4 linked regions of the Tamandua tetradactyla genome follow. The protein of the gene in region 1 purifies or fractionates together with the protein of each later gene. This does not show direct contact. Links are inferred from orthologs where the notes say so. Each region holds a gene or a part of one and is shown in the gene's direction. Other genes may lie near its edges. The genes, in order: SHC1, PRKCD, INPPL1 and LRRK1.

The links.
Region 2: the proteins of SHC1 (region 1) and PRKCD purify together in Homo sapiens (affinity purification with mass spectrometry; 3 studies listed by BioGRID and IntAct, with this or other methods). This does not show direct contact. The link is inferred for Tamandua tetradactyla from reciprocal best matches to the Homo sapiens genes SHC1 and PRKCD.
Region 3: the proteins of SHC1 (region 1) and INPPL1 purify together in Homo sapiens (affinity purification with western blotting; 4 studies listed by BioGRID and IntAct, with this or other methods). This does not show direct contact. The link is inferred for Tamandua tetradactyla from reciprocal best matches to the Homo sapiens genes SHC1 and INPPL1.
Region 4: the proteins of SHC1 (region 1) and LRRK1 purify together in Homo sapiens (affinity purification with mass spectrometry; 3 studies listed by BioGRID and IntAct, with this or other methods). This does not show direct contact. The link is inferred for Tamandua tetradactyla from reciprocal best matches to the Homo sapiens genes SHC1 and LRRK1.

The regions. Positions count from the first base shown.
Region 1 is NC_135330.1:7,961,594-7,969,150, reverse strand, and holds the start of SHC1 (SHC-transforming protein 1), read left to right. Parts: upstream 1-4,544; 5' UTR 4,545-5,286; coding exon 5,287-5,874; intron 5,875-5,887; exon of another isoform or gene 5,888-7,489; coding exon of another isoform or gene 7,490-7,557. Other genes in the region: CKS1B (cyclin-dependent kinases regulatory subunit 1), read right to left, coding at 1,092-1,144, 1,766-1,893, 3,934-3,992. UniProt on the Homo sapiens protein: Signaling adapter that couples activated growth factor receptors to signaling pathways. Participates in a signaling cascade initiated by activated KIT and KITLG/SCF.
Region 2 is NC_135341.1:32,530,743-32,538,628, reverse strand, and holds the start of PRKCD (protein kinase C delta type), read left to right. Parts: upstream 1-4,876; 5' UTR 4,877-5,089; intron 5,090-7,886.
Region 3 is NC_135334.1:74,050,984-74,058,694, reverse strand, and holds the start of INPPL1 (phosphatidylinositol 3,4,5-trisphosphate 5-phosphatase 2), read left to right. Parts: upstream 1-4,701; 5' UTR 4,702-4,704; coding exon 4,705-4,901; intron 4,902-7,501; coding exon 7,502-7,565; intron 7,566-7,668; coding exon 7,669-7,711. UniProt on the Homo sapiens protein: Phosphatidylinositol (PtdIns) phosphatase that specifically hydrolyzes the 5-phosphate of phosphatidylinositol-3,4,5-trisphosphate (PtdIns(3,4,5)P3) to produce PtdIns(3,4)P2, thereby negatively regulating the PI3K (phosphoinositide 3-kinase) pathways.
Region 4 is NC_135338.1:83,680,746-83,687,975, reverse strand, and holds the start of LRRK1 (leucine-rich repeat serine/threonine-protein kinase 1), read left to right. Parts: upstream 1-4,219; 5' UTR 4,220-4,329; intron 4,330-7,230. Other genes in the region: ALDH1A3 (retinaldehyde dehydrogenase 3), read left to right, coding at 48-120.

The DNA.
Region 1 (7,557 bases):
GAAATATTTTCCTAAACAGTTACAGTCCACACATGTTTTTTCAAAGCTTAGTGCTGTAGCCACTTGCATATTGAATGCTTGAAATCCCTATAGCCAGGCCACACTGCACACCCATTAAATCAGACTCTCTAGGGAGCACAGCATCAGTGTTTCTAAGGCTACCCAGGTAATGCTAATGCCCAGCCAAAGCTGAGAACCATCGAAAACACTCCCAACCAACGAACAGTGCGCCTGAGCCTTATGCTGGGCAAGAATTGGAGCACATTAGTGTTCTCTGGCTGGCAGCCTCCTCCCTTTACCCTCACATAACCTTCAAATATGGGTCTAGGTTAAAGGCAGTCCTGACTGAAGCAACTTGTTCATGTTTTGGTGGGATGAGGTTGTCGCTATATAGCCACTACCTCAGGTCAGCAGTTAGAGTGAAATATATTTCAGTAGATGTTGGACAGCATGTCTGTTTCAAGTAGATTAAAAACCAATTACCTGAATGTTGAAATAAACCTCATTATCAGCAAAGAGCCTAGCTTCATTATCTAACTGAACGGCAGATAATTAGAACATGATACTGAATGTGATGCTCACCCTGACAGTGGTGGGGGAAAAAAACCTTTCAATTAGAATTGGATTATAAAAACTTCCTCTTTAATCAAGGGTTTTAACATGGAACAGACTTCCTGAATAAAATGGAAAGTTTCCAATACATTGAAACATAAAGCCACAAGTCACCATACATACAACACCCGGCAGGAAAAAAACAAAACACCAAGTTTACACAATCCCTGTAACTGAGCCATGGGTCTTATTCTCAGATGCTCCCTCCATCTGCCAGGTGTGTTCTGCTGGATATAGAGCCCACCATGGCATCTGGGGTCACACTTAGCTGAGGCTACGGCCCAAAGAGCACTCATCTCGCTGGGTAGAGGTGGTGTTGGCTCTGCTCAAGAGGCAAAGCAGTCACCAGCACATTCAAGCAGTCTATTGAATATCCTTTAAATATCAAAGTGAGAAACAAGAAGGCAACATTATCAGAAAGATGTTAGCAAGTAAGGACAGCTGTGTGTAGCTTGAGGTTGAAAAATCGTGTCCTATCTTCATTTCTTTGGCTTCTTGGGTAGTGGCCTCCGGAACAGTAAAATGTGAGGTTCTGAAAGAGGGGTGAAATCTTAAGAGACAAGTTTATACCATTCTGTGCACAACTTAGTTTATCTCATGCTGTCCCATGGCCACCTCCCAGCTTTCACCCACTTAGATCTTTAACTAAATTAAGATTTAAGCATATGGCTCTAGAAGCAGACCCAGAGGCAATTCTGCCAAGTACAGAATGGTTAATAATCCTTTTGCTGTGTTTGTACAGCCCTGGGATGTCCCTTATTAGTTTTGCCTGGCAGCTGGGTGTCTGGTGTCTTATCAACAAATATATTTTTCTTGGCTTATTTGGAACACATCCAAAAATCGGCTTTCTAGTGGAGAATGAAACAGGGCCATAACCTCTACCAGGGTATAGCTGGCCTTAAAGAGTATTCTCTGTTGAATGAATTAAAAATTAAAAGGAGATTTCTTCAGTGACAGGTTGTCTCTGAACTTCATGGATATTTTACTCTTATTTTTATTTTTGGTCACTCTAGTTTTTCTAGATAGGTGATGGAGGGGAAAGAGCCAGTAAATCATGCTCTCCTTCCCCCATTTCTTTGGGCAGCACACTTACTATTCCTTCGTTCTCTCAGTGTACCAGCCCTATACAGATGCTTTTAGCTGTTCCACTGACCTGGTTCATGGATCATATAATGGACCCATCCCTGACTTTGCTGAACACCAAGATTCCTCCATTCCGATTCAGACATCAAATGGGTTTTAGGGACCAGCTTGGCTATGTCCTTGGGCAACATGACATGCCTGTAAGAGAAACAAGGGAAGGCAGGGAATTTGTGTCAGCACTGTGAACAGTCTGTTAAAACAAGTGCCTGCAAACAAAGCCAAGAGAGGAGAGAAAAGAGAAACCAGTTTCTGAAGTCAGGAGTTTATACATTCCTTATTGTATATAGAGGGCTAGGGCCAGCTATGAATCCAGCCTAAGTTAGGTAAATCCTCACAAAAGTACCTTATAAATAATTTAAATGGATGAGCACTTAAGTCTCACGTACTGATACATTGTCCCTGCCTTCATCATGCTTACAGTCTTCTCATTGATTACCCATAACATAATGAAAGCCCCACAACAAACATTAATAATTAAGTTGGGTTTTGAACAGGTTTGGTAAAGGGAGAGCAATTTTGTGGAGCAGAAAGGCCCATTATGTATTGCTGTGTAGAAAAGCCACCACAAAGAGTGAAATGGAAATATCTTATCTTTTAAAGTCTATTCCAAATCATTTTCCTTATTCTGAAATAAGGATATGCCATGAGACTTCTTTTGGGAAACTCCATGCTTCCCTAGCCAGGGAAAAATCTCTTTTCATGACAGAAAAATTATTACTCTGAGCTTGAACCAGGCTAACCTGGGTAGACTTCATTATGTTCAGTGAAAATGTACTAAATGCTCCCTCTGTGCTAGTAAGAGGTTTTTTCCCAGAGATAATTCTAGTGTAGATGTCTGAAAATAGCTTACATTCTAACAAGCTTCTGCCACAAAGTTTGGCTTCAGTACATAATTTAACAAAAACCTCTTAAACCAAATTACCTTTGCCAAGCTAAGAGTTACATCTCCCAAAGGATGAAACTAGTGACTTCTCCCTGCAAAGATGTTATAAGTATCTAGTTTCAGTTAGTTTAGTTCAGATGTAGAGGTGTTTAGCTGAGGAAAAGAAAGTTAATTGCATCCGAGAAGGGCTTGGGGTTGTTTTACCAAGGACCTAGCATGAAAATGGTTATTTGTCAACACACACAGAATTTTCCAAAGTATACTCAGAGCCAGGCATTAGGCCAGGTGAAGAGACAAGACAAAAAGCAAGTTTCCATTTTATACTCTCCAATTGAGACAATATGCAAACAGAAAGTTGTCTTAATTATTACAATTAATACAGATTAGTAGAATGTTAACAATTGTAGAATCCTCTGTCTTTCCTCATTTTCCAATCTAGAATTATGGATTTATCAAATCTTAACTGTGCATACAATCCAGGGATTCCTTCTTTGCCAACCGTGGTAGACGACTAACCAGCAACTTGATTCTGAGGCACTTTCTCCTTCCTAATCTTTTCCTTGAGTCCATCTCAGGCAGTTTTCTCGAGGAAGCGTTCCCAGACCTACCAATTTCCTTGGCTGGTTTTATAAATCCCACCACACCCTGTACACATCTCTATCATATCATATAAGTGTATCTTCCACAGATTTTAAGTTCATTGAATGCAGAGACAACGTCTTATATTAACCTTGCATCTTAGCAGGACACCTGAAACCTGTAAGTACTCGTAATTGTTTCCTGAACAGATGCCCTTCAAATATCTAAAGTTTTTATTAGACTCATCTTAAACCTTTTCTCTTAGCCAATTTGTTCCACCTCGCAGCCCCCTTCCAAAATAAGCCAGATTTGGACCCTCTCAGGCCTCTCCTCACATTGAGGACACTAGAAAACCTCCAATTCCGCTTTTGCCAACTTCTCCCCGCAGGCATTCTGGTCCTAGACGGTTTGCCCAACAAAGTTGAGAGAATACTCCAGAAACCTGCAAAGGTGATGGGGGGTTGGGAGGTCAGGGACCGAAACACACACTCTAAGCCACGCCTCCTCTCAAGAGTCCAAATTCGCAACCAATTTATCTGTTCCCGAGCGCGCCCGACGCGTTGCGCATGCGCTTCACGCCCTCCACGCTCTCACAGCACTCCCGTTAAACCCCAGCGCATGCGCCGAATCTGTCGCCTCAGTTCTCATTACTAACGCCTCGTGTTCTCACTTGTCAAGGCTCACGACCACGTTACGGCCCCCGCGCCGGCACTAACCGGTACTCGAACTCCTCGTCGTCGTATTTGTCCGAATAGTAAATTTGTTTGTGCGACATGATGGCTCTGACTGAGGGCCCCCAGCCCGGCGCAGCCAAGCTCCAAACAACTCCCAGCAGCACGCGCTCCCACCCTCCTTGGCCTCGCTTTCAAACACACCGCCCGCACTTCCTATTGGCTTGTTTGGCTCAAGGCGGGACAGCTCCACCTTCAAGCCTCTGATTGGCTTAGATTTCTTCTCCTCGAGTCTTTATTGGAGCGCAGTATCCTACGTTTCTCTAGAACGAGCGTGGGACAAAAATAGGCCTCCTATTGGCTATCGCTGCGCTTGTGCTCGCTCTCGCACTGCTATTGGCTGATTTACGAAAGTGGGCGGGGCGAAGGAGAGACAGTGAGGTAGAGGGTCAGGGGTTAGTGAGGCCGGAAGTAGGTGCAATAAAGTTTCTCCAGGGAGGCCTGGCCCGGGGAGAAAGTTGGAGCGGCGACCTAGAGAGGCAGTGTGGCGTAATCCGGAACCACATCGGCCCGCGGTGCGGTGCGGAGACTCCATGAGGCCCTGGTGAGTCTTGACTTCTTTTCTTCTTAGGTGACCCACACCTCCACCCCGGAACCCCTCTCCCGGGACCCCACTTCCGGTCTCCCCTTTCAAGTCCCGCCCCCTAAGACCCCCTTCCCGGAAGTCCCACCTCTCAACTTCAGGGGGGGCTCCCCGAACCCCGATTTGTTTTCCATCTATTGTTCCTGACCCCACCCTGTCGCCAGCTTTATTGGAAGTCCCACCCCCAGACATGCTTCCAATCCCTACTACTAGAAACCCTTCGTTTGTCCTTTCAACTGTCTGAACTTCCGCCTCCTCTGGACGATTCTCCGCTAACTCTGTCTGTCAAAAGACCTATCTCCCAGAAGGGCCGAGCCCTGCCCCTCCAGGAACTATTCGAATTAATTGAAGCCACGCCTCTCTAGGGGCTCCACCCCTCCAGAAGCCACACCTCTCCCTTAATCTGCGTTTGATGGTGTAGAAACCTTGGCTCTCGGTAGTATCTGCTGCACGCATTTTAGGGGCCACGCCCCCACAGGAACTTTATTCCTGTAGGACCCAGGTCACCACCTCAGAGGCTTTGTCTTTGATTCCAGACGCTGTACATTAATACTTACATTTCCCCTCCCTTTCTGTCTTCTGAGCTTTGGACTCAGCTTTCCTGAGCTCTCTCATGCCCCACTGAGTGGGAAGACAAGTTCCCATCTTTCGTCCGAGGAGTAAGAGAGGCAGCCCCTCACCCCCTTCCAGTGGTGGACCGACTTGAAGAGGGACTTGGGGTCTGGTACGAGAGTAGGACAGAGATTTGCTTGTAGATGCCAAGCCCCACTCCTTTAGTTTCTCTTTCCAGGACCGACTCCACCCCAGGAAGAGCTGAATGTCATAACCTGCACTTCGCGAGCTGGGGAGGGCTGTGGATTCAGTGGTGTGCAGCGTGTGGGTGTGACGGGAGTGAGGGTTTTCTGTCACCTGAGAATGCGGGTTTGGAGTGGGGGCTGAGAGCAGTTTACCTGGTGGTGGTTGATTATTTTAAGGGACTCCTCGGTTCCCACCACTTCTCTGGCTCTTCCCCTCCCCCTAGCCGGAGTTCTTGTCTGGGCATTCCTCCTGGTCCCGCTTGCCTAGCCTTCCCGGCTGGAAACATTCCTGAGGCTTTCACCATTTCCTGCTACTTTCCTCCCAGCTTGCCTCCTCCCTGCTGGGCTGAGAAGCCAGACACAACGTCCCCACACCCAACCACCTGGGCTCCCAGTAGGCATTTTTCTTTCTTTCTATGCAAATTTAGAGCCAAAGTTCCTCTTTCTTTTCTTCCAAATGCCCACACCTGTTGGTTGCTCCCGACCTCTGGCAGCCACAGAATGGCTGTCTTGAAAGATGAGGATATCCTACTGTGTGTTGAATGTGTGAGTCTGAGGAATCCCTTCTTCATTTTCTCTAGACCTGAGAGCTGAGGTCTTAGGAGACGGAGTGATAGAATTCTTTCTCTGGAGTGGTGGCTGGGGTGACAAACTCTCCTGGGATGAGGGCTAATGGGAGGTGAAAGAGTTTAGCACAGTGTCTCACATGTTTTAAGTGCTAATATTGTTGATCATTTTTTTACCCTCTGAAGTAAATTTCAGGTTAGGGTAATTCCAAGGTGAGCTGGGGGTATGTGTCTTTTACTTCTTGTTTTTTGGTGGCTTCCTAAGTTACTCTGTTGCTCCCTTAAGCACAGTTGTGGTGAGAAGCTGTGGGTGGAAGGAATGGGTTTGAGACTTCCTTGTGTCCAGCCTCAGCCTGTCTTCTTCTGGCCTCCTTTTTTTTCTGTAGATTTTAAGACAAATCTGTCTTCTACTTTTTCTGTCCTTTAGTGGCCCATAGCTCCCATTTCACTTGGAAAACTGATCCACTCTCCCATCCGTCCCCTGGTGTGGAGGACACTGTGCTCTATGATGAACCCCTGCCCCTTCCCCAGTTACTGCTGGGGGTGGGGGGGAGGAGGGGTACAGGAGTACACCTGATGGATCCAGGGAGTTGACTTTCAAGTTAGTGCTCTGGCTCTCAGTTCTTAGCCTTGACAGCATTCTTTGCTGACTAGCCTGTGGGAAGAGGGGCAGGACTGTGCCTGGCATGTAGGTGCCATGCATAGGAAACAAGGCTCGACTAGCCTGTCCTCTTGTTCCAGCTGTCACCTCCAGCTTTATCCCCTTCACTTCACCAGTTTTGCCTTTCCTCTTGGCCCCTCTGTGCATCCACTGGGACCACTTCTTTCCCTTCCCCATTTTTCTAGCTCCAGTCCCCAGCTGTTGTGGCAGAGAAAGCTAATGGCTCAGGCTCCCTGGGGCCACCTTGACTGTGTGTGGTAGTGGTGGGGAGGTGGCCGGGGTTGGAGGATGGGGGAATGTGAGCATTCAACCAGGACTAGAAGGGAAGTGCTGAGCTCAGGGATCCCACCCTCAGCTGCCTCTGTTTCCTCTCTCATTGCTACCCCCCACCCTCCCATCCTGGCTTCCTGCACCCCCTGGCCTGCCCATGTCCTGTTTGGACTGATCCAGACATGCTCTCATTTCCCTCCTTTCCTTCCCACTTCTCCATCTTTCCCTTTAGCCCACAACCCGCACTTTACTCCTCTCTGGTGGGGTCGGGAGAAGGGGCTTAGATATCTCTACTCCTGCAAGGGTTCTAAGTCGGGGCTGCGGTGGGGGCTCAGCCCCTCTGAGCCTGTGAGTCAGCACTGTCCTCGCGATTGGTCTCTCCTCTTTGCTCCCGCCCCTGGGGAGGAGCCAGGCAGCTCTGGGTCCAGCCTGTTCTCTTCTCGCCAGAAGAGAGGCTCCACGTTGGGCGGGGATGGGCCCTGAAACTGTCTGGGTCTGAGCTGGGGGAGCAAAAGCCGCCTATCCCTCTCCCTCCAGGACTCCTGGGACTCTTAGACCATAGCGGTCTCACCAGGCTAAGGGCCTGGGATGCCCCTTGCCTGGCCCCCTTGCCCTGACTGGCAGGGGGGCCGGGCTGGGCAGCAGCCCCCTTCGCACCCCAGCCATGGATCTCTTGCCCCCTAAGCCCAAGTACAACCCACTTCGGAATGAGTCTCTGTCATCGCTGGAGGA
Region 2 (7,886 bases), on another chromosome or scaffold:
CATCAGAATAGCAGAAAATCATTGCTTTTCTAGACTTCTGCAACTCTTCTTTCCCTGCCTCTCATGTCCCATCCAATCCTTATGTCCTGCGGGTCTTCTCAGAGGCTCCCAGCTGGGAGTGCGGCCAGGGTGGCAAGCCGCAAGACCTTGTACTATCCTCATACTCAGGGCCTCGATTGCAACAGCCATGAAATGGGTGTGCTCAGTTCTCCCGGATTCTGCTGTACAGACAGAGCCCGCAGCCAGCAGCGGGGAGGGTTGCCAAGAAGATGCCACCCGGCGCCGGGGCCCAGGTGTCAGCGCGCGCCAAGCCGCCAGGTGGTTGCCCGACTCGGCATAGAGCCGGACCGTTTATAGCCGGTCCCTTGTAACGCGGCTGGGGTGCGGCCCCCGCCCTCTGCACGGAAAGACTTCCCTGGGGCGGGGCGAGGAGCCAGGGAGGTGGGGACTGCCGGGCCAGTCATTACCCCTGCGCGAGAATCGTGCCTGCGGGGGCAGGAGCGCGGTACTCCGGGTGGGCCTGGGGATCTGTGAGTGGCATGGGGAGCTGGTGTGCCATTGGTCCTCCCACACCCTCCCCACTGAGAGGGGCCGTCCTCCAGCCCGGGGCACCCGCAAGCTCCCAGCTTCCCACCAGCCAAGATGGGCTGGGTGAGCTGTCTTCTGCAGAGGGAGACTGAGGCACTGGCAGGTGAGGGGGCTGGTGAGGCCCAGAGCATCTGGGACACTCAAGGTGTCAGCACCTAAGACGTGGCAGGCCAGAGCAGGGTGGATCCTGGGACACAGAGGTGGGGAAGGTGGGGGCAGTGGAGGAGAGTTGGCGGCTCCTTGGGACTCTATGCGGAGAGGATGGCTGTTGCCTGGGATTGCTCGGAAATAAGAACCCCCATCCTCCCTCCCTCCACGTTCTTTGGGGAACAGGTAAGCCCAGGAGCTGCCAGTGAGGGCTGTGCTTTGGTCAGTGTTGGGTGGGGACAGTCAGGGGCTGTGTACCCCTGTACGGCTTTAAAAAATCCCTGAGCCCTGTGCTCTCAGAAAGCATCTTCCCCTTGTCTACCCCAAGTATTTCGCAAGTTTCACCCAAGCACAAATGTAATTGAGGAAGGAACTTGGAGACCATTAGCTTGGCCTTCCCAACTCTTTGTAGTTAGTAGCTTTGCTGCTAGAGCCCCTGGAGCCTGGTCTCTTCAATCCTCTCAGCAAGCCTGTGAGGTGGATATTACTCTTATCATCTCCATTCCACAGATGAGGACCCTGAGGCGCACTTAAATTACAGGTCCAGGACACAGCCAGGATGTGAACCTGGCCACTGCCTGCCCAACCTGCCCTTACCCTCCCCCACACCCAGTGCCCCAGGCTGAAGCCTCTGCTGATGGTGGCCTGAGGCATGGCTGCAGGTTGGACCATGTCTCAAGGGCCCTCCTTACCCACCTACCCCCAGTGGAACCCTCCCAGGTTCTGCCATCCCCCGCAGTTGTGCAGGTGCACGGTCCCTGCTGGCCTGGACTTCCTGCCCCAGAAACAGGAGCCTACTGTCTCTTGGCTGGGCCAGCGTTCTGGGTGTGATGGGGATGGTGCTGGCAGCCAAAGCTTCAGGGACAGGGATGGCAAAACAGGCAGAAACAAAGAGAGGGAGTGAGAAGAGAGAGCAGGAGGTACAGTGAGGGGCCAATGAGGAAGAGGCTGAGGCAAGGACCAACTGGCAGGGAGCAGTTGGGGGTCCCTGGTCCACCCACAGCTGCTGGGGGAGGGGTCAGAGGAAGGCTGCTTGACTGAATCCTGAACTTGCTGTAGAAGGCCTGAGGGCTGCCCAGTGTTCATGGCCTCTGGGCAAGACAGGGCCCGGGGCAGGCTGCCCCTCTTCTGGACATCCCCTGCAGGGCGACTGTAGAGGAACAGCCCCAGTGGATGCCGGAGGTGGGAGTCCAGGATGCTGCTCAGTTGTTACACTGGACAGTCCCATTTCCTTGGCTGTAAACATGGAGGAGGGGGAAAGGAAAGTACCACTTCTGGCTGCTGCACTGGGCCCAGCCCTGCCAGGGGATTTATGGCCCACATCACTAAGGCCACTGAGGGCTCTTCTGAGGCTGACAATCTGTGACTCAGCACAATGACCGTACCCATAGTATGTGGCCAATGTGGTCCAAGTCCTCACTGGGTGCCCACTCTACCCACTCTGATGACCTACCAATAGGTAGGTCATCAGCTCCTTTCACAGAGCAGACTTAGATTCAGAGAGATGCATTCATCTGCCCAAGTGGCACAGCCAAGTCTTGTCCCCAGGCCTCAGCAGGCCCTTCTTAGGTTAGTGCCAGGCAGGTTGTGGGGGCACAGAAACAAGCTCATCTGGATCTGTCCTGGCCCATTCTGTGCGGTACTCAGGAGGAGATCCAGGGTACAGGGAGGCTCTAGCCAAGCTTGACCTGGACTCCCTGGACCTCACTCAAGCCTGATCCTCCTCAGGCTTCTGGATACACACCTGTCCCTGGAGGGAAGCCCAGCTGCCTCCCTCCTTTACCTTGGCCAGGGCGTAGGCTGCACAGCCTCAGCTGTTCTGCCCTTTGTCTAAGTGCATTACACTTTCCTTTGGAGTCTCCAGAGGAAGAAAATTAGCTGAAGTGAATGTGTGCTCTCAGTCCCTAAGATCATGAGTCTGCATAATCCTGAGGGCCAGAAAAATGCTTCTTAGTATCTAACCCAAATCCTTCTTGCTCCTGCAACACTAGCCCAGATCTAAAACAGTGGTTCTCAACAAGGAGTGATTTTGCCCCCAGAGAACATTAATAATGTCTGGAGACATTTTCGTTTGTTACAACTCAGTGTGTGTGTGTGTGTGTGTGTGTGTGTGTGTACTATTGACATCTACCAGATAGAGGCCAGGTGTGTTGCTACATCCTACAATGCACAGGTTGAGGATGGACCCTACAACAAAGAACTATCTGGCCCAAAGACGAGTAGTGCTGAGATTAAGAACCTCGGATTCAAAAGTAAGGCATGGGCTTTGGAGATAAGCAGACCTCAATTTGAATCCTGCCCCCGCCATTTACAAATATAGAACCTTTGACAAGTGGCATCACCTCTCACTGAGCCTTAGTTTTCTCCTCACTAAAACTGGTGTTAACAACAGCCCTCACCTCACTTGGTCTCGAGGACTGAACAGATCACCCACATCCAGCACCTAGCACAGGGCCTGACACTGGCGAAGTCCCAGTCAGTGACAGCCACTGTTCTTTCCCTTTTTCCAAGTTGAACTGCATGCAGGGTATGGTAGGAAAGGTCTGGTGACTACACCTGGAGCTCTCCTTGGGTGGAGCAGAGGAATCAGGACTGGGAGCCTCATCTTTATTTTCTTTTCAAATTGGGTCCTCCCTCCTCCCAGGTGTAAAGCACCCCCTGCCCTCCCCTCCACGCACACTCCCACCCCAGGACTTCAGATGAGTGTTGTATTTCTGCCTCTAGCCCTGTTCCCCCTCCTCCCCGACTGGGGATCTCATACTCAAACTGGATTTGGGATCCACTAGCCCCAGGAATCTCACTGGAAAACCCTCCCCTCCTATTCCCACAGCTGGGCAAACCATCTGGGTCTGGCCCCTTCTCTGCCAGCATCTGCCCTGACCTCAACCCAGACTCCTCCCACCTGAACAATGTGGCAGCTCCTCTGTCCTTCCCCATACACCCCTCCCCCTCACTGTAGTCCTTCTGCTTCCCATCAATCCTCTCCTATTTCCTATCTCCTATAAGCCTCTCTTCCCTATCCATTCTGTCCCAGCCCTGTTGCCCCATCCATTCTTCTCTGCCCCTTTTACCCCCATCCCTCTGTCCATCCATCTCCTCAAAGGTCTGCTTGATCCTGTTATCACATCCCAGTAACAGCCTCCACCACCTTCCTGCTCCTTGAGAGGATCAAAGTTCTGGCCACAGCTAACTGCCTCTGCATGGGCTCCTTGCTCAACTCAGGCCCCCTCAGGAATTGTCCCCCATTCCATCCATTAGGCTTAGGAAAAGCTGTTCTGACCCTCCCCTTTCCTCCTCTCTAATTATTCCTCCAGAATGTGGGAAACCTCCCTTTTTGCCTTTTGGGAGGTGACATTTTTTGGATGAGTATTGGGCTAATAGCTTTCAGAGCTTTGGGGGCAGAGGAATGAATTCCCCTGGGCCCCACTCGGTCCCCAGGAGAACACTCAGTCAATGAATGAATGAATAAATGATGACTAACATTTCCAGGTTCCAGGTCTGGAAAGGAAGTTCGGATGCCTGCTGGGGGAGGTCCCCAAGGTGGCAGCAGGAAAGTGGTAGACTGGTGGGGGGGTGGAGGGCGGATTTGGATAGGGGCGGCACCCAGAACCGCCTGTGGAGTAGCAGCGGACCAGCCAGAAGCTCCCGCCCTGGAGTCTTTCCAGTTCCGTCTCTGGAGTCTGGGCCGGGACCGGCAGGCCTGGCTGTGGGCACCGAGCCCGGCCACGGACGCGCTCCAGCCAACAGGAAGAGAAGGAGCGAAGCTGGGCGAGGCGAGCCAGCTGGCGAGTGGAGAGTCCGGAGCATGGAAAGTCGGGGAACCCCCGCCGGCGCCTCCGACGAGGGGGACCCGGGTGTACGGGAGCAGTGGCAGGGGGGCACGGCCCGGGTCTCAGCGCCCTCCTGTAAAACGGAATCCGCTCTGAGGGCTGGTGCGCGCGCTCATGGCGGGCGAGAGCGCGAAGTGTGCGGGGAAGGGCTGAGAGGCCCAGACAGGGAGCCACGCGCACCGAGCCAGGCAGACACCAAACCCCGGCTCAGGGCTGGCGAGGGCGGACCAAGGGGCGGGGCCGGCCGTGGGCGGGGCCTGCCGGCACCTGGGTGAGGTCGCGCCGCCCCGCCCCCTGGCACTTCCGTGTGCTGCGGCGCAGGAGCGGGAGCCCGCTGGAGTCCCGAATCCCCGTCCGACCCCCGGCGTCCGCCAGCCGATCCGAGACCCGGGCCGTACCGCATAGATCTCCTCGTCCGCCCCAGTCAGGACCCGCACCGACCCTCGCCCGCGCAAGTCCCGGAGTCACGCCGGGAGCCAGACTCCGCCCACCGAGACCCCTGGCGCCTGGCCCCGAGCCCGGAGGTGAGTGAGGGCCGGGCCTGGGCTCGGGGTCGGGGCTACCCGGAGGGCGCGCCACTCCTCTCAATCCCCTCCCAGTCTCCAGTTCCCGTTTCCGAAACCGAGAAACTAAGCCGCGGCCAGAGAAAGTACCGCCGTCCGCGGAGACCCTCTGGTCCCTCGGTCCATCCGTCTGTCGGTCCCTCCGTCAAATGGCGGGGCCGAAGGCCCCTTGTCCCTAGCCCTTCTACACAGCCTCTGTGCCTCTAGCTCCTCCAAGTGTCTGTCTGTCTCTCTCGAGTCTTTCTGGGGCTCTCTGTCCATCCCCATCGCTCTATGTCCTCCTGTCCAGCACTCCCCAGCCCCTTTCTGTGTCAATCTCTCCGCCTGCCCCATCGCCCCCCTCCCCGGACCCCTTGGTCCTGTCCTGCCGGAGCCCGCCCCCTGCCCATGTCCGCTTCTCCCTCCGCTGTCCCCTGTCTATCTGTTACGTCCTCTTTTCCACTCCAGGGCCGAGGCCAGGCTGGCCACCGCGTCTGTCCTCCCGTCCTGGGTCCCTGTCCAGTCCGCGCAGGGCCTACTTCTTGCTGTATTTCTTCTTTCAGTCTCGATGTCTCTGTCTCTCCAGCTGTCTCTGAATTGAGCGTCCCTCCAGCCTCCATCCCCCTTCCGGCCCCGCCTCTCCACCCCTCAGCTCTTCTCAGCCCCCTCCTCCGGTGGCCCCTGCCTGGTTATCTGTCCCCAGCCAGGCTCCTCCATTGCCCAGGCGCCACCAGCCCACCCCAGCCTGGTGAGGGGAAGGGGAGGAAGGGGCCTGGCACACCCTTTTGTCCACTGGGGTGGGGGGTGGGGTAGGAGGTGAGCAAGGTCAGAAAAGCCCCCACTTCCCTAACTTTTGGGGGGAGGGGAGAGCCCCACCAACCCCCCTGCTTAAACCTGGTCATAATGATTTGATAGTATGGGGGAGGGTCCTTTTCTCTGGTCCCCATACTGTATGTGCCGATCCTACATCTTATAATGAGTTGCCTGTGTCTGGGCATGTGGGTATATTGTGTTTGTGCCTTCTTGTATATTCTTTGTCATGGGGTCTGGGACTTGCCCCTGTGTGTGTTTCCTTTTTAATGTATGTGAATAGTCAATGTGTATGTGTGTGTCTGGTTGCATGTGTCCTTTGCAACTATGTATGTGTCATGTCTTGGTGTGTTCTTTGTCACCAGACTCCTCTCCATGTGTTGGAGTGTGTGTGTGTGTGTGTGTGTGTGTGTGTGTGTGTGTATATCCCCGTGAGTGTCTGGAGGGTATCGCATTGCATGGGTGTGTCATGGGGTGACCCATTGGCCATGACTACATTTGAGCTGTTAATCGTGGGAGCCCCTGGTATCAGGATGCCAGCCTCACGTAAGCGTCTGTGTGTGTGTATGTATGTATACATATTTGATTCTTCCTTTCCTTTTGCCACTGAGCTGCTGGGGCTAGGCTGCCCTGGTCACTGAGGGAAGGGACTGGTCCCTTGGGTTTCCTCCTTCCTGCTGTGGACTATGGGGTGGGGCAGGCAGACAAGCTGGCAGAGAGCAGCTGTGTGACCTGTGTTTGTGTGTGTGTTTGTGAGATGTGGAGGTGTTTGTGCCTGCCCGTGAGATGGTGCAGGGGATCCAGTGTGTGACAGCCCTGGCTGAGGGTGAGGCATTGGTGGAGTGAGGTTCCAGTGTGAGTGAGTGACTGGTGGGAGACTCACAGTCTGACTGTATGAAACTGCGAGTGTGTGTGCTCAGGGCGTGACTGTGTCTGTGGGGAACTGAGAGTGCCCTAAGTGTGGGTGTTGGTGCAGGAGGGGGTGTGACAAGGTGTGTGCATGGTCTGTGTCCCAGGTAACAGTGCTGGGGGAGCGGGGTGGGGTGAGAGTCCCCAGCATATATTTGAGCGTGTGGGAGGCTGCAAGGGTGGGGGTGTGCACATGACATGCACCAAGCCCAGCCCTGCTCCTGCCTCCACTCTCCCAAGTTGACAGACACCAAAGGGAAAACCCTGGGGTTTGTAGTGTTGTGATCAAGACTTTGGAACCAGGAAAGACTTGGGCTCAAGTCTTTTGTCTTAAGAGCAAAAGCCCTGAGCTAGGCCCCTTTAAGGCTCAGCTTCCTTATCTGCAGAATGGAGAAGGCTGCTGTGAGGGCTGGAGATCCTGTGTTGAAAGTCCTTTAGCACAGCCTTCACTCATAATGAATGCTTGGCACATACTAAGTATAGTTTAGTAACCATCCCCCACCTCCCCATCTCTGCCCCCAACTTTATGGTCCTCATTCTCTTGGGAGCTAGGGATAATGAAAGCCTAGATAGTCTCCAACCCAATTTCCTGCCTTGCTGTCTGTTGGTATGTCAGTTACCTCTCCTACCCCTTTGACCAGACTGTTTGTAGGAGGAAGGAGGGGCTGACAGAGCCCCCAGCACCCCCCCCCACTCAGTCTACGTGACACCCGTCCACCACTCCTAGGCTTGGCAACAGCATTGGGGGAGGGGGTGCAGTGGGGTGGGGGATGATTTGGAGCTGTGACTGCAGGGCACTGACACTTTAGTTTAGATGGTATAGGTAATTGGAGTTTAAATCAAAACTAGAAGTTATTTAAAGTGCAGACAAAAAGATAAAACCTGAGGTTGCATCGGCCCCAAGGGAGTAGTTATGGGGGTCTGTATCTGGAGAAGGGGCGCACCTCTGGGGAAGGAAATCTTTGGTGGAGTCATAGCCTGGCCTACAGTAAAAGTGCTCAGGCCTTGCAGCCAGGAGACTCAAGCCCTCTTGCTGCCTTTGCCATTCATTCCTTCCAGG
Region 3 (7,711 bases), on another chromosome or scaffold:
TGTTGATGATTGTACAATTAAGTGAGGATAATGTGAGACATGGATTGTTGACTTTGGACATTATACACAATGCCCAATAGATGGAGGGGCTGAAGGATACATTCATTGAGAAGTAGAATGGTGAACTGTGGTATAAACATATGATATAATATTGAACAGCTACAGAAAGCAACAACATCATGAGGCATCTAACAAGATAAATGAACCTTGGGGACATAATGTGGTACAAAATAAGCCAGAAACAAAAGAAAAAATGTTGTACGGTCTTTTTTAGAAAATACTGATAAGAAAATTGGGGCCTACATTGTAAGCTCACATAGCAGTTACATTCAGTCTGGAGCTATAAATGTTATTCCTAGATTTCGAGATGCTGTGTATAACGGAATATTTCCGTGGAACTTTGGCTACCTGTATGACACCTAAGACTCAGTGTTGGAGTTCGGCAGCTCTGAAAAGCCAACACGGCTACATAAAACAACTGTTAAAGACACCAAAAAAGAGATCAGGCTTCACTTAGCGATAAGGACAAAGTCAAACAGGTTGGGACTAAGGTAAATCAGAATACAGGGGTAAGGATGGCATTACTTAGAACTACACCTAATGTATAAGATCAAAGGAAGAGAGATTTATTCTGTCCAATATCTACATTTTCTGTAGCATATAATCAAACTCAACTTGTCTGGATAGCTCATTTAAACAACCCAAACACACGGAGCCCAGAGTGGGAATGAGGGCTTGTAATTCTGTGTAGCTTAATGTAATACCTGATATATCTCAGACTATGGTGGGCAGATAATTAAAAAGGACTGGCAAAGCACCCTGAAGGACTGGAGAAAAAATATTGAACTATTAAACTTTACCACCTGGGAAACTCCTGATACTGTGTCAAACATTAGGCACTCCCAAGTCAATAGGCGAAGTTGAGCGCTTGCTCCTATGAAGCCGAATCCTACAGAGGAGAAGCTAAACCTACCTATAGTTATGCCTAAAAGTTACTTCTAGAAACCTCTTTTATTGCTCAGATGTGGACTCTCTCACTCTAAGCCCAACTCTGTAAGTAAAATAATTACCCTCCCTCCTACGTGGGACATGTCATCCAGGTCTCCCTGGCAACGTGGAACATGACTGCCAGTGATGAGCTTGGCCCTGGAACTGTGGGATCGACATCGCCTTCCTGACTAAAAGGGGGGAAAATGCAACAAAATAAGGTATCTGGCTAAGAGTTTAAATGGAGTCAAAAGGCTATTCTGGAGGCTACTCTTATGCAAGCTTCAGCTAGATACCGCTAATTACCACGGTTTGCCAAACCCCAATGAAAACCATTCCTGTTAACCCTCAAGAACACCTAGGGCTCTATCTGAGGTTCCTCAAAAAAGTTTTACATACTACATTATGTATGTAAAAAGTTTTACATACTACAATTACTTTCAAGAAACCTACAACCTCCAAATGGTTCCTAGGCCAGATTAATCCTGAAACCCAGAGAGGCCAGCCTCTTCAAAAACATCAACTAGTTTCATCCCCCTATCCCATACTATTGACACCTCTTTCCAACATGAAAAAGAATAGGCAGAGCCCAGATACCCCTAAAAACTGGGAGAAGGATCAAAGGAGAAGAAGGTGTTATAACAGAGAAGATAGGATTTAACAAATGAGTATGACTGCTGAATCATTATATTGATAGTTCTTTTAGTCTCCAGTGTCTTGGAGCAGCTAGAAAGAAAAACCTAAAATTGTAGAACTGCAACCCATATCAAACTCTGAAATCTGTTTTATAACTACTTGTTACAATGTACTTTGAAACTTATTGTTTGTATGTATGTCATATTTCAAAACACAAAATATTTCAAAAAGAAAGAAAAAAAATTTGTCAAGTCATCGTTCTATTTCCTTGTGGTATAGGAAATAGAGAGGGAAATAGAGAGGGAAAGGAGCTGCTGCCTAGAAAGCATGGGAGCCCAGTGCCTGCACATTCCTAGTCCTTGTTCTGTCGCTCTTGCAGCACGAAGGCTTCATTATTTATATTGGTTCCAAAACCTCTCCTTTCCCCCAACCCTAGTCAGCCTGGCCCTGCACTCAGTCTGCAATAGCACAGCTGGGAATAGGAGTCCAGGGACGGATCTGAACTCCCAGTGGTGGTGAAAAAATTCACACTGCCCAACATGTAGACAGACTGAAGGGGCAGAGCTGGGGCTTGGGACCTTCAGAGGAGGGAGAGAGTGGACTGCGGAGGGAATATTCAAGAGTCTGGAACTGGTCCAGCCCTGCTAGGTCCTTCCCAGAGAGTTGGGAAGGCCTCCTTCCTGGACACCTTCTCCCCTTCTGGTTTCTGTAGATATACCTGTCTTGGAGAGTTGCTGCGTCTCTTCTCAGCCCCCAGGGGCTAGGCCTGAATTGGTCTCTGGAACTTCCATTTCCCTTTCTCCCCAGAGGAAGTCTTTGTCTCCACACCTTGACCACAGTTCTATGGGTGGAAAAGAGGCCCCGTGGAGCGCAGGGACCTGCTGAGGTGAGTGGCCATCTTAGGACACACGTTTCTAGTCCAGGTCTCTTGCCCCCGCACACCAGGCTCACCTTTCCTCATATGAAGAGGTGACTGACGAGGGAAGCCGGGTACTGATTGGTGGGGTCTGGAGACATTGCTGGGTGGGAGCGGAAATTTCTTACTTTATCATATTTATCTGGTCTGAACGGTTCCACAAAGCTCCCTCCACGTCGCAGGTTTTGTTCCCGCGGGTCTAACCCAATGGATATTTGAAATGGAGGAAGGATCTTGTCAGGACTGACCCGCACTCCGTCAACAGGTTTAATTTAGCAACAGGAAAGTTCTCTCAGACGTCGAAGGGTTCGGTGGACAAGGAGTTGGCTACTGAGCACGCGGCTGGGTGCCTGCGCCTTTAAGGAGCCAGGGGAGGAGGGGCGGGGCAGGAAGCGGACTCCCCTGAGACGCCGCCAAAGGCTAGGTCTTTTTTTGGGAAGGGGAGGGCTAGACCCTCCTATACGCCCCGCCCCCTCTCCGGCGGCCGCGTTCTCCCCCAGCCCGCCGCCAGAGGGGGCCGGGTAAGTCGGGGGGCGTCGGAGCGTGCCGAGTCCTGGGTGCAACCAGCTCGGCGTTCGGCCCACAGGGGAGCAAGTTTATTGACTTGGAGGGAGTAGCCGGGGTGGGGGTGGGTGCTAATAATACCCGTTCGTTCCGCAGCCGCGCTTTACAGTTTACACAGCTGTCACCTTCTTTACTCCTTAATTAATAATAAAAATAGCCGCCGCTCGGGAACGCCTGCTGGGTGCCAGGCCCTGTGCCGAGAGCTTTACAAGCACCGTCCCATTGAGTCTGCGCTCCTAACAGTTTCCCTATTTTAAAGAGCTGGAAGCCGAGTCTCGGAGAGGAGCGGTGACTTGCCCGAGGTCACTCGATCAGCGGCTCCGGGGCCGAGATCGCGACCCGGCTGAGGCGGAGCGAGCGTCCTACCCACAGTCTCCGCCGAGAGCCGCGGGGGCGGGGCAGCGGGCGGGGCGGAAGGCGGGGGGTGGGGGGTTGTGGCGGCGGCGGCGGCGGATGGCCATCTTAAGTGGCCGCTGAGAGTCCAGGGCCGCTTTCCCGGGGAAGGGGCACCGGAGAAGCCCGGAGGTGGGGGCCTGCGCGAGGTGGCCGGGTCTCTGGGGAGAGGTCGGGGATTTGGGGGAACTTTCTTCTAGTGGGATAAGGAGGGGCCTCCTCGTCTCGGACTGCTGAACCCCTCAAGGCTGGCCCTGCGGGCAAGGGGGAGTGATGCCAGGGAACTTGGCCGAGAGGGGGAAGGGCCCCTACCCTTGGCCGGGAAGGGCTGCGGGGACGGGGAGTGAGGGGTCCCAGGGCACAGGCCCTGGTCTGAGGGATTCGGATCTTTATGGTTAGCCCTGCGGGATTTCTTAGGGCCGGATCCAGTGGAGTTTAAGGTTCGGGGCCAAGAGGTGGCTGGATTTCTTGGGAGTTGGGGGTCTGGCCCCCTCGGTTGATGGGGAGACTGATGAAGGGAGGTTCATTCTTCGCAGGTTTTGGAACTCGATCCTGCGGTGCTGTAGGGGAGACGGATGAAAAGGATTTGGGGTAGAATCAGACCTTTATGGGGGTTGGAAGTGATAATATTAAGGGTATAGAAGGGAGGCTGAATTCTCGTGATAGGAGGAAACAGGGACGGTGCCCCGAAGGGTCTGGGTATAGGATGGGGAGACTCGGACTTCGATGGGGGATTTGGGGACTGGATTTCTGCGGAGCGCTGATTGGGGGTGGAGGCGGGGGAACGATCATTGTGGGGTTTGGGAAATCGGGTCCCCCTGCGGTTTGGGGGATCCCGGGTTCTGCAAGAATGTGGGGGACACGACTCTGTGGGTAAGAGGTTGGGAGCAGGGGCGATCTGGGTCGTGGGCCGAGCGGAGGGGGAGGGAGCCGGCCGCCCGGCTCTGCGCTCCGCTTGCGCCCCTCCCCCGCCGCCTCTGAACAAACTTTTCTTTCTCTTCAAGTTGTGGCCGGCGCTGCAGGCGGCGGCGGCTGCGCGGTGTCGAGGCGGCCCTCGCGGTGGGGCGCGGAGCCCGGATCCCCGGCCCAGGGTCGCTTGCGGATTCTCAGCCCCGGGACAGTGTCCCGGCCCCGACCCCAGCCCGAAGCGGCCGGGGGCGGATGGCGCGGAGCGGCTGGTGCCGGCAGCGCTGAGCCCTGACCGGGCCATGGCTTCCGCGTGCGGGGCGCCTGGCCCGGGAGGCGCCGGGTCCGGGGGCGCCCTGGGCTGTCCGGCTCCCGCGTGGTACCACAGTGACCTGAGCCGCGCCGCCGCCGAGGAACTGCTTGCCCGGGCGGGCCGCGATGGCAGCTTCCTGGTCCGCGACAGCGAGAGCGTGGCGGGGGCCTTCGCGCTCTGTGTCCTGTGAGTGGGGCGGGGGCTCCGGGCAGGCTGGGCTGGGGAGAAGGCGGGAGTGGATGGGATGCGGCCGGGTGACTGGGGCGGTGGGACGCCAGCGCCCCCCAGAGTAGGGGCTTTGGCATTATCCTGGGGCTGAAGAAGGATGCAGTGGCACTTCCTGCTGTGTGTCTGGGGACTCGAATTCAGAGTATGCGATGATGGGGGAAAATGCAGGCAGTCCCTGGTAGACTCTCCCAGGCATCTTGCATGTCCAAGGGGCAGTGGAGAGAGGATGTGTGTTCCAAGGTTGTGTCCAGTTCTGTTTATATAGGGATTGAGTGTCTGAGTAGTAAGCAGTAGAGGGAGTTGGGGATAGAGGGACTGATAGACTCTGTGAAGAGCCCCAGCAGCTTCTTTTCTGAGCACCTAGGACTGAGGTTGGACTGCCTGGCTGTTCATAGCTGGGGCTTGGGGGTTGCTGTTGAAAGGAAGGTTAGGGAAGAAGAGGAGCATGTGAGGCTGCATGGGGCTGTCTCATTATTGCATGAATCCATGAGCAGAGGTCTGTGCCCCTGGCTCCTGGTTTGAGTCCTGGGTGTAGCCCTGAGCAATGGGTGCTAACTGTGGGGCTAGACTTGGCAGTTGTTCAAGTAGTCCTGGTCCTGTGGGTCCACCACTTAGCTTTGTGTGGTAGTGGTGTTGGGGTGAGTTTACACATTCAGTTTTGGAGTCTTCTCCCTGATCTGCTCCCCTACCCCTTACTGCCAGCCCCACCCCCCCACCCCCAAACACACAGTCTGACACTGAGTGGGCTCCTGTGGGCCTCTGGAGTGGGATGCAGATGAATCGGAAGCTACAGAGGCTGCTTTGGTTAGATCGAGTTATGTTCCTCCTTAGCCCTGTGAACTTCCCTCTGAATCCTGCTGTCCCTGTGTTTCCTCCTTTCCCCTCTGTCACATTTGGTGACATTTGGGATGGTGTTACTGGCATAGCAGAAGCCAGGGATGGTGCAAACATCCTTCTGTTATGGACAGTCCTCCACAACAAAGAATTATCTGGTCCAAAATGTCAATAGTGCCGAGGTTGAGAAACCCTGGCCTGGGCAGTTAACTGGGCAGTTAACCTGAAGAGAAAGGGTCCCTATACATTTCAATTTCAGTTTGTGCCTCAAGTCTGAGGCCCAGTGTTGGGGGCTGAAGAGGGTCAGCTTAAGCAGATAAATGTCCTAGGAGTCCTGCCTCCCAGCCCCATTTGAGGTGTATCCCCTAAGTAGGGAGGGGAGGGAGGCAGGTGCTATGTCAGCTGTTGAGTGGGAGAGGGACAGCTGGGGCCTGTGTTTGGGTGAGGGACATTATTGTCCTAGGAGGGAGGGATTCTACTCCATTGCCAGGGGGTGGGGTGAGAGGCTGTTCTTTTGCCTCTCAGGAGCCTGAGGTAGAAATCAGAAACGAGTGATTTCTTATATTTCCCAAACAAATAGGTACTTGCTGATCTGTATACACACCCCATGTATACAGATAACATTCAGAAAACACCCCTGCCCTGACAGGCCCAGGCCCTAAGTTTAAATCCCAAAAAAGCTCTGCCTTTTGCTTGCTTGGTGACCTTTACGCAATCACTTTTCTGCTTTGAGCCTCCATTTCCTCATCTAGAAAATAATAATAATAATACTATCTGGCTCAAAATGTGAAGATTAAGTGAGATGAGCAGACAGGATTCAGTTAATGGGATACTGTTATTATTATAAATACGGACTCACAGCTCACAAGCCAACAAACCCAGCCACACAAATACTCACACAGCTTGTACTGGGTCCAGCCAGGAGAGCCCCAGAGTGTGGAGGGGGCTATGTGAGGGAGGAATTGGCCCTGTGACCCTCCCTGGTGCCTATGTTTCCTCCCACCCAACACACATGGGCTGGCCACTCCCTTGGGCAAGCCTACCTTGAGGTGTGTGAGACAGAGGGAGCCCTCCCCCTCCCAGTGAATATGCGCCTGTGGAAGGCGTGGCTCAGCTGTCACCTGCTCAGCTGTTGCTGCCATCTGTCAGCACCCTCTTGCCCCTTCTCAGCTTGGGGCTCCTAGAGGCCCAGGTCTCCCATAAGGGGATCCCCTTGGGTCATCTAGTTTCTTGGTTCCTGGGGGAAGTAGGCAGAGAAAGTCCTAGTTTGATGCCCCCTAACTCCCCCCAGTCAAACTCCCACAGACATACCCAGCTCCAGCAGAGCCAGGCACTAACATGAGCACACACAGCAGGCACACACGTGTTTGCACATTGCCCGTGTGCACAGACAAGGGCAACCAGACATCTGAAGACTCATACTCTGGCAGGGGGGCCCAGGCGTGTATCACAGCCCAGAAGGGCTGTTTAGACAGCTGTGCAGGCCACAAAAGAATGCCTGTTGCTTCCCAGGCCCTGCGGTGGGTGTGGAGTCTATGCAGGTCTTAAGGTGGTGAGGGGGGAGGAAGGTGGAAATAGACTGGCCCCATTGTTAACCCTTTGCAGTCTGGGTAAGCTCTCCTAGGGAAACCAAGCTGAGGGGCCATGGGGCTGAACCTGGTGGCAGGAGGAGGGGGTACCTTGGGGCTTGGAAGTGACAGGAGTCTGACCCGCCTTCCCATCAGGTATCAGAAGCATGTGCATACTTACCGCATTCTGCCTGATGGAGAAGACTTTCTGGCTGTGCAGGTGGGAGCTCTGACCCCTGGCCCCTAACCCCTGACCTTGATCCTAATTCTAGCCTGGGGCTTGGGACCCTCTGGCTGACTCCTCCTGCTCTTGTGACCTGCAGACCTCGCAGGGTGTGCCTGTGCGCCGCTTCCAGACCCTAGGTG
Region 4 (7,230 bases), on another chromosome or scaffold:
GTAAGGAAAGCGCCCATTCTGAATATTTCTCTTTTCTGTGATCACAGAGGCGAGTATGCCCTCAGTGAGTACACAGAGGTGAAAACCGTCACCATCAAACTCGACGACAAGGACCACTGAAGTTCAGGCAGAGTCCTTCCTCAAACATTTGACAGCTGAGTGCGGCGGGCGACACTTGCCGAAGAAAAACAACTACATTTCGGACTTTCCCGGGATGCCTCCCCCTGGAAACTTTCAGTCGACTGGATTTGAACGAGTTTGTTTTCCTCTGACTCTATTCTATTGATCTAGCTGGGGATGCCCGTAGGTTGTGTGCAAGATTGTAGCACTGTCCGGGCAGAGCTCTCAGCCATTTCTGTCTTCCCCCTTTAGACCAGGTCCCGGGGGACAGGGACAGTGCTCACCACGTTGTTTTCAGGGGGAGTGGCATTTGAAGTGTCCAATGGTTGCTTAAAAATGCTTTGCCGAATCTGACCACGGTAAGAATTTGGAAAAAACTCTCGGCAGGGTCTGCACGCCTGGCCCTGCCTTTGTGGTGTGCTCGGCTCACCTGCAAATAGAACAAGCACTTCCTCCTCCTGGGATAAGACTGAAAGGCACTGTTCAGTGGGAAATGGACTAGCGCTGAGTTAAAACTAATAAAAAAAGGGATTGTGAGGACCCACTGTGGGGAGCTTTGGGGAAGCTCATACAAGCTTTGGGGAAGGTTGCAGAAGGCTTTGGGTGCACGTGGGTCTTCAAAGACAGGCGCACTGAGCATTGAACACAGCTGAAAACCAATACCGCCTTTGCAATATAACTGAATCAACAGCCCAAAGAGCTTATTCTAAACATATGTCATGGACTATCAAGGCACTTTCTTAGGCAAAACAATTGTTAGAATCACCTTTGCTGCTAAGAATCCAATGCTCTGGCACTAAGACAGTATAGCACATCCTCCAGTAATTGTCTCACAATTTAAAAAATAAAACAATACAGCAATAATTCACTTTTACAGGTTATGCAATGCTGCCACATTCGTTAGTGGTTTATGATAAGCCTATATACTTTTTCCTTCTTCCAGTTTGGTTATCCATTTTAGGTTATTAAAGCACACACAACTGGAAAGAAACGTGTCATAATATAGCCCTGTTTTTAAAAAGCCCTGTTTTGGATATTAATTTCTGATTAGTCAACAAGTAAGGCATGGACTCCATGGAGGAGTGGGGTTTCCTACTAGATCCAAGTCTGAACACTTCACTAACAAGTTGTAGAGCTGTTCCTGTTTGTGTATCCAAATCATGTGCAATTTCCTCTGTTTCAGCTTGGAAAACTGAAAGTGTTTCCATATAGCTTTAAAAAAAGAGAGAAACCAAATTTTATGTTCCTCAGATGCTTTTAATGTTACTAATTTGTACTTTCCTAATTGGAAAATTATTACTTACATTTGAGAATTAAGTTGAGGGAGGGGAGGCAATTATAAAATTAAGTTCACCATCGAAACCAGTTTGTGTACAAAGGAAGCCATGTGCGAAAGAGGGTTTTCATCCTTGTCAGAAATCCACAATATATAATTCACACCCTCTCCATCAGTTAGCACTTACACTACCAAGAATTTGTTAAATCAGGATTTTATTTCATACACTGAATTTTCAGTATTTTGTTCTCAACTATTACACTAACCTTGATCATAATACATTAGAGGGTTCTTATTCTTTCATTGTACAATAATGCCTTTAATATGAAATGCTACATTATTTATAATTGGTAGAGTTATTGTATCTTTTTATAGTTTGTAAGTACACAGAGGTGATATGCCTTCTGTAATATACTGTATTTAGAAATGGAAATCTATATAGTGTTAGATTTTACTTCTTTAAAGGTTTACCCTGTGATACAGTTTAAAACCCTATTGGCCTGGGAATTCTGATCCTAACTGCAGATTAAGTTACAATGGAGCTATGATCAAATAAAATCGGATATTTGAGAAACTTTATGCTTTTTCATTTGAGAACCAAACCCATTTTAATTCTCTGGTTGAGTTTTTCTCTTTCCTAGACCTTCTATGCAAAATGACCTGTAATATAGCAGTACCAGTGGCTGAAGAATAAAATTACATTTGCTCAATTGATCAGGCCTCAATGCTTCGCCTGTGTCTGTGAAAAACACTGGGGTTGACCAGGCAGGGAGCTCTGCCTTAGTGGCTCTGTGTCTTCAATGGCTAGACTTAAGCTGGTCATCTAAGCTGATAACGTTTGCCATGTGTGTGGATAGTTGCATGAAGGGTTGTGTGCAAATTTAGGGAAAACATTGTATTCCCTTTACTGTGTCCATTTTTTGGTTCTCTCTCCACAAGGCACTAGATATTTGGGTTTAACTTACCTCAAATTTCTAAGACTTCTAAACAAGAAGCCTCAGTCACCAAGTCTCGAGTTGACACAGAGATTGGATCTAGAACATTCCTTATACTTCATTAGGTTCACCAAGGTCAAACTGTGCATTTGATTTCAAAAATCCAAAACACTCTTGCCATGTGTTGGCGAAGCACAGCTCCATTAAGAGAAAATTTGGATCGGATCCCTCGTAAAATATTTAAGAGAGGGAGCCTTCCAACTTGAGGTGCTGAAAAGCTGGGTGGAATACTGAGCACAATGTGAGAGGACCATGCATTAGCAGGGTGAAAGAAAGGAGAAAGGAATCATCTGACCTGTAAGGACCTTCCCATAAGAACCTGATAAGTCACCCCCAATGGATAGAGCTGACTGATGGGGAATAGCCAGCTCAAAATGGGACACCCGTGTGTCGAATGTTCTGTCTGCTTTTCGTATTGGGGCCATTTTCTATCCCACTAACAAACTCTTTTATAAGGGAAGTGAAGCATTACATTGGTGCCTGTCCACTCCAAGGTCTGCCCGGGACTAGGCTGCGCTTCCCCACCGAGTCGCTGGGTGGCGGGGCCGCGCGCTGGGAAGGCGCCGCGCTCAACACCAATGACGCCCCGCCCTGCAAATGATTAGGGACTTTTCGATAGCCGCAATACTGCTGGCCTTGCATCCTGGTATTAGGAGGCCGATGGGAAAAAAAGGGATTGCAAAACTGCACCCGCCCTCTTGGAAGGGCGCCCGATGCAAGAAGGGTCTGAGGGGCAGCCGCCTGGGAGCAGAGCCAAGCTGCCCAGGTCCCCTCAGACAGCAAGGGGCCGGGCCCTGAGAGTCGTGGCGATTTGCCCATGTGCTTTGCGCTAAGTCCTGGGGCTCTCCCAGCCGTTGCCCTACACGAGAGGCGCCCCGGGTGCTTGTCCTGCCAGGGTGCGGAACGATTCGCTTTTTCTGAGCCCGCTTCTCCTTCCTCAGTGGACAAGAATGTCAAAAATCAGAGGGCTGCCTGCCGCGTGGACATGTGTGGGTGCCTTAGTGCCTCAGTGGGTGACAAACATCCTCATATATTAGGTTGAGGCATAATTAATCGGCCACATGGCACCATGTCTGAACTACAAATTTAAAAAGCAGACAGTTAAAAATGATTCACCAATGATGAATATGCAACTATGTGAAGATATTGAGAATTACTGATTATGTATGTAGAACCGAATGATACGTTAATGTTTTTGTTGTTCTTAATTTTTTTAATTAATAAATTTTAAAAAAATGATTCACCAAATAGCTTCATCTTTGCGTAGATCCACAATTAAGGTAGGTAGTCAGTTAAGGTGGTGGAAGAGGTGCAGCTTGCAAAAAAGAACATTTAAAAAAAAAAACACCCTAGTTTCATACAGCTCTGTAGGCAGGTTGCACTGGTATTTTCAACCCTTGCTTTGCGGGAATTTGGGCAGCATTCAAATGCGAGGTTAATCCGGAAATGATGATGCTGGACAGAGCAGAGGGACAACGAAAACCAGATTAATCCGAAAAGGAATTGATTAATCTGATTAATCTGAAGGGACCCGGTGTGCGTTACGCGGAGTCCCCAAACCTGGAGGAGGGCCTCGCTCAGGAAGGACCCTGGGGCCCAGTCATCTCCTGGGGCTGGGAGCAGGAAACTTGCTCGTACCTGCGTTTGCCGGCTGGGGGAAACTGAGGCAGGGCACCAAGGGGCCGCCGGGTCCGCACGTCGGTGGGAGCCGCAGCGGCGCCCCCAGCCTCGGGACGCCTCGGCCTCGCCCCGCGCTCCTCGCGCCGCCCTCCCGCCCGCCTCAGGATTGAGGAAGTGCGTCTGGTCCCGGCCCGGCCCCGGCGCGCCGCCCGAGGCGCGGGGGGCGGAGGGCGGTCGGAGCGCCAGGCCCGGCCCGCCGGTGTCCTCCTGCCCGCCCCGGGAAGCCCCTGCTCTGCAGCCCGCCCGCCGCCGCCGCAGGTAAGCGCTGCCCGGGCCGCCGGGGTGGCAGGCGGCCTCCCGCATCCCGACCCGACCCCGCGGCTCCCGGCGCTCGCCCCGGCCGGGCCCGCACTCGGGGGTCTGCGTGGAGCCTTCTGGCCCTGCGCCCGCGGGCGGCGCAGCCCGGGCCCCGCGTTCGGGGCGGCCGCGTGGTGGGGGACCGGGCGCCCTGACCCAGGGGCCGCGTTCACATCCCGAGGGGGCTCCCGGGGCGCGGCGATCACAGCCCCGATTCCTGAAGTCGCGCGTGAACCCGAGCCACCCCCCCGCGGGCCGGGGCGGAGGCGTGTGCGGGGCCCAGGGGGAAGCCCCCGAACCCCCGATCTCTGCGCAGGACGGCCCCGGGACGGCGAGGGGGAGGGGGAGCAGCGACAAGAAACAAAAGTAGGAAAATCCACCAGGCGGGCGTCTCGGCGTCTCCTCCGCCTTTGGAGAAAACTCCTCCTTCCACTTGGAGCGCGCGCGTGTTTGTGAGCGTGAGTGCGAGGGTGTTGGAAGGGACAGCCCCGGGCTCTCACTCTCCCAGGGGCGGCCCGGGTGATGCGGGAAGACCCAGGGTGCCTTCACTGTCCACAGTCAGGGGCGTCCTGGCTCAAGGGTAGCATCTCTGGCCGGATATTAAGACCAAAGGCCTTCCCTGCGGGTGACCTCCCCTGCGGGTGACCTCCCCAGCCGTCACAGGGGCGGTGAGATGAGTGCAGCCCGGGGCGCCCCGGGGGGTTGGCGGGAGATGGTGATGGGGGAGGCCAGAGCTTGCTTGGTGGCCAGCCAGACCAGGTGGCCGTTTGCAGTTTGATGGCCACGCACAAAATTTTTCCTCCCACGAACACAAGTGCAAGCAGCGGCTTGAGAGGCAGAGAAACCCAGGAACCGAGAGCTGTTTTTTTTAGCTAACTCCCACCCCCACCCAAAGAGTAGATGATTTTTAGAGGTATTATCAATCTATTGGAATATTAATGATACAACTAACATACGCAGGGTTTTGGTAAATGGAAACAGTTAAATATTTTATTAGGATTTTCTTCTCAGTATCTTTGCTTATGTCTTGTAAGCATAACTTAGGTGAAAACGTAAGGTTATGGCATACAAACCTCACACCTACCAAATTCTTAAAGGAGCTCTTGATGTCAACCAACGCCCTCTCTTCCCCCAGGCTGCTGCGTGTCAGGGAGTGGCCCTATCTCAACTCAGTTGCTATGAACGGATCCCTAGGCGTTATCCTTGATCCCGTTTTCTCATGCCCCGAATACAGTTCCTCAGTAAGTTCCGTTGGGGCTACCTCCAGAGGTGTCCCAGGGCCATCCACTTCTTTCTCAGCCTCCAACCCTAGCCCAAGATGCCAACACCTCTTTCCCCTAGGATTGCTGTCTTCCACCCTACCCCACCCACTCCATTCTCTAGGAACCAGAGAGGTTTTTTTTTTTTTTTTAAGAAAAAGAAAAGGTAAATAAGATTATGTCACTCCTCTGCTTGGGAGCCTTCAAGAGCTTCTCCTTGTAATTGGCATGAAATCTAGAGAACCCCTTCCCCTCTACCCCTGCAGGATCTGGTCTCTGTCATCTGGGAGGGCTGCCCCACTGGACTCCCAGTCACCCTGACTGAGCTCAGTCCCCAGTGCGGGGCCTCTGCATTGCTGTCCTTTGACTCTTGATGAGGTTGATACCTCAGAAGGTTCTAGAAGGCCTGCCTTGTCGAACCTGGCTAAACCCACCCTCCTTCTCTCTCACATCCCTCTCTTTGTGTCCTTCTTACATTCTCCGCTGTTTGTGTTTGTGTATACTTTCTTTATTCCATTTCTCTTTTAATTACCTGGCTGTTCCCCAACTTTGGCTTCCTGGGGTTAGAGACTGTGCCTAACATGTTCCTCACCCAGTCCCTGATTCCTAGAACCCTGCCTTGCACAGGAGATGCCCAGTGCAGACTGTTGGTGTAACTGAATGGTGAATGGGACAGCCTTCACTTATTTGTGGTTTCGGGCTCATGGGTTCTTCTTTTGCCAAACCCTTAGGAACTCCTCTAGGTTTGAGAACCACACACTTTTCCTGTGTGCAGCTCCATGATTATCTTGATATTCACAAACCTGTCAATGCATTTTGAAGACGAATGGATATCAGTAAAGGGATACTAATAATGCTAAAGGAAGGTCTAGAACCATGGAGCAATCAACTTGACCAGGCTTTTGATTTAAAAAGGAGCTGGTCTGTGTTAGTATTTCTAATGTGTTTGTTTCTTTTGCAAGTGTCTTGCAACTCTGGTTGTGGCAGCCCTTTCCAAATCTCTTGAAAGAAAACAGTGTGGGGGGTGCGGGGTCTCCTGTTTCTTCCCTGATGGAAACTTTGTAGCTGTAACTGACTTGACTTCCTCCCCACCAGCTGTAAGTTTCATGAACTCACGAAGTTCATGCCTCACAGAAAGGGCTCAATAAACAGTTGTAGAATTAACAGCAGGTTCCTTGTTTGTTTGTTTGTTTTTCCAATAAGTATTTAGGTTTATTCATTAATGCAAGTATAAGGGATTAGCAAATGGAAAAAAAATTGAATTTTGAAAAATATCTAGGACAATTATTATTTCAGAAATCCTCTTGAAGCCCACCTAAGAGGTATATATCATAATGAAAAGAATATATATATACATATATATAATTTATGACCATGAGTTATTGCATTGGTCTGAACTCAAAAGAAAAAGGAGGAAGCAAAGATCAGTTTGAGGGCAAAGATAGCGTAAAACTTGTGTTACCTCATCTTAAAACTATTACCTTAGAGTATAAACAAATGTACAAATTATAATTAAAACTGCTCCGGGGGCAAAATCCTCCTCTGGTAAAGTGATTTTCAAAAGGAAACTGAAAATGAAAAGGGGAACAAAATATGCTGGGTG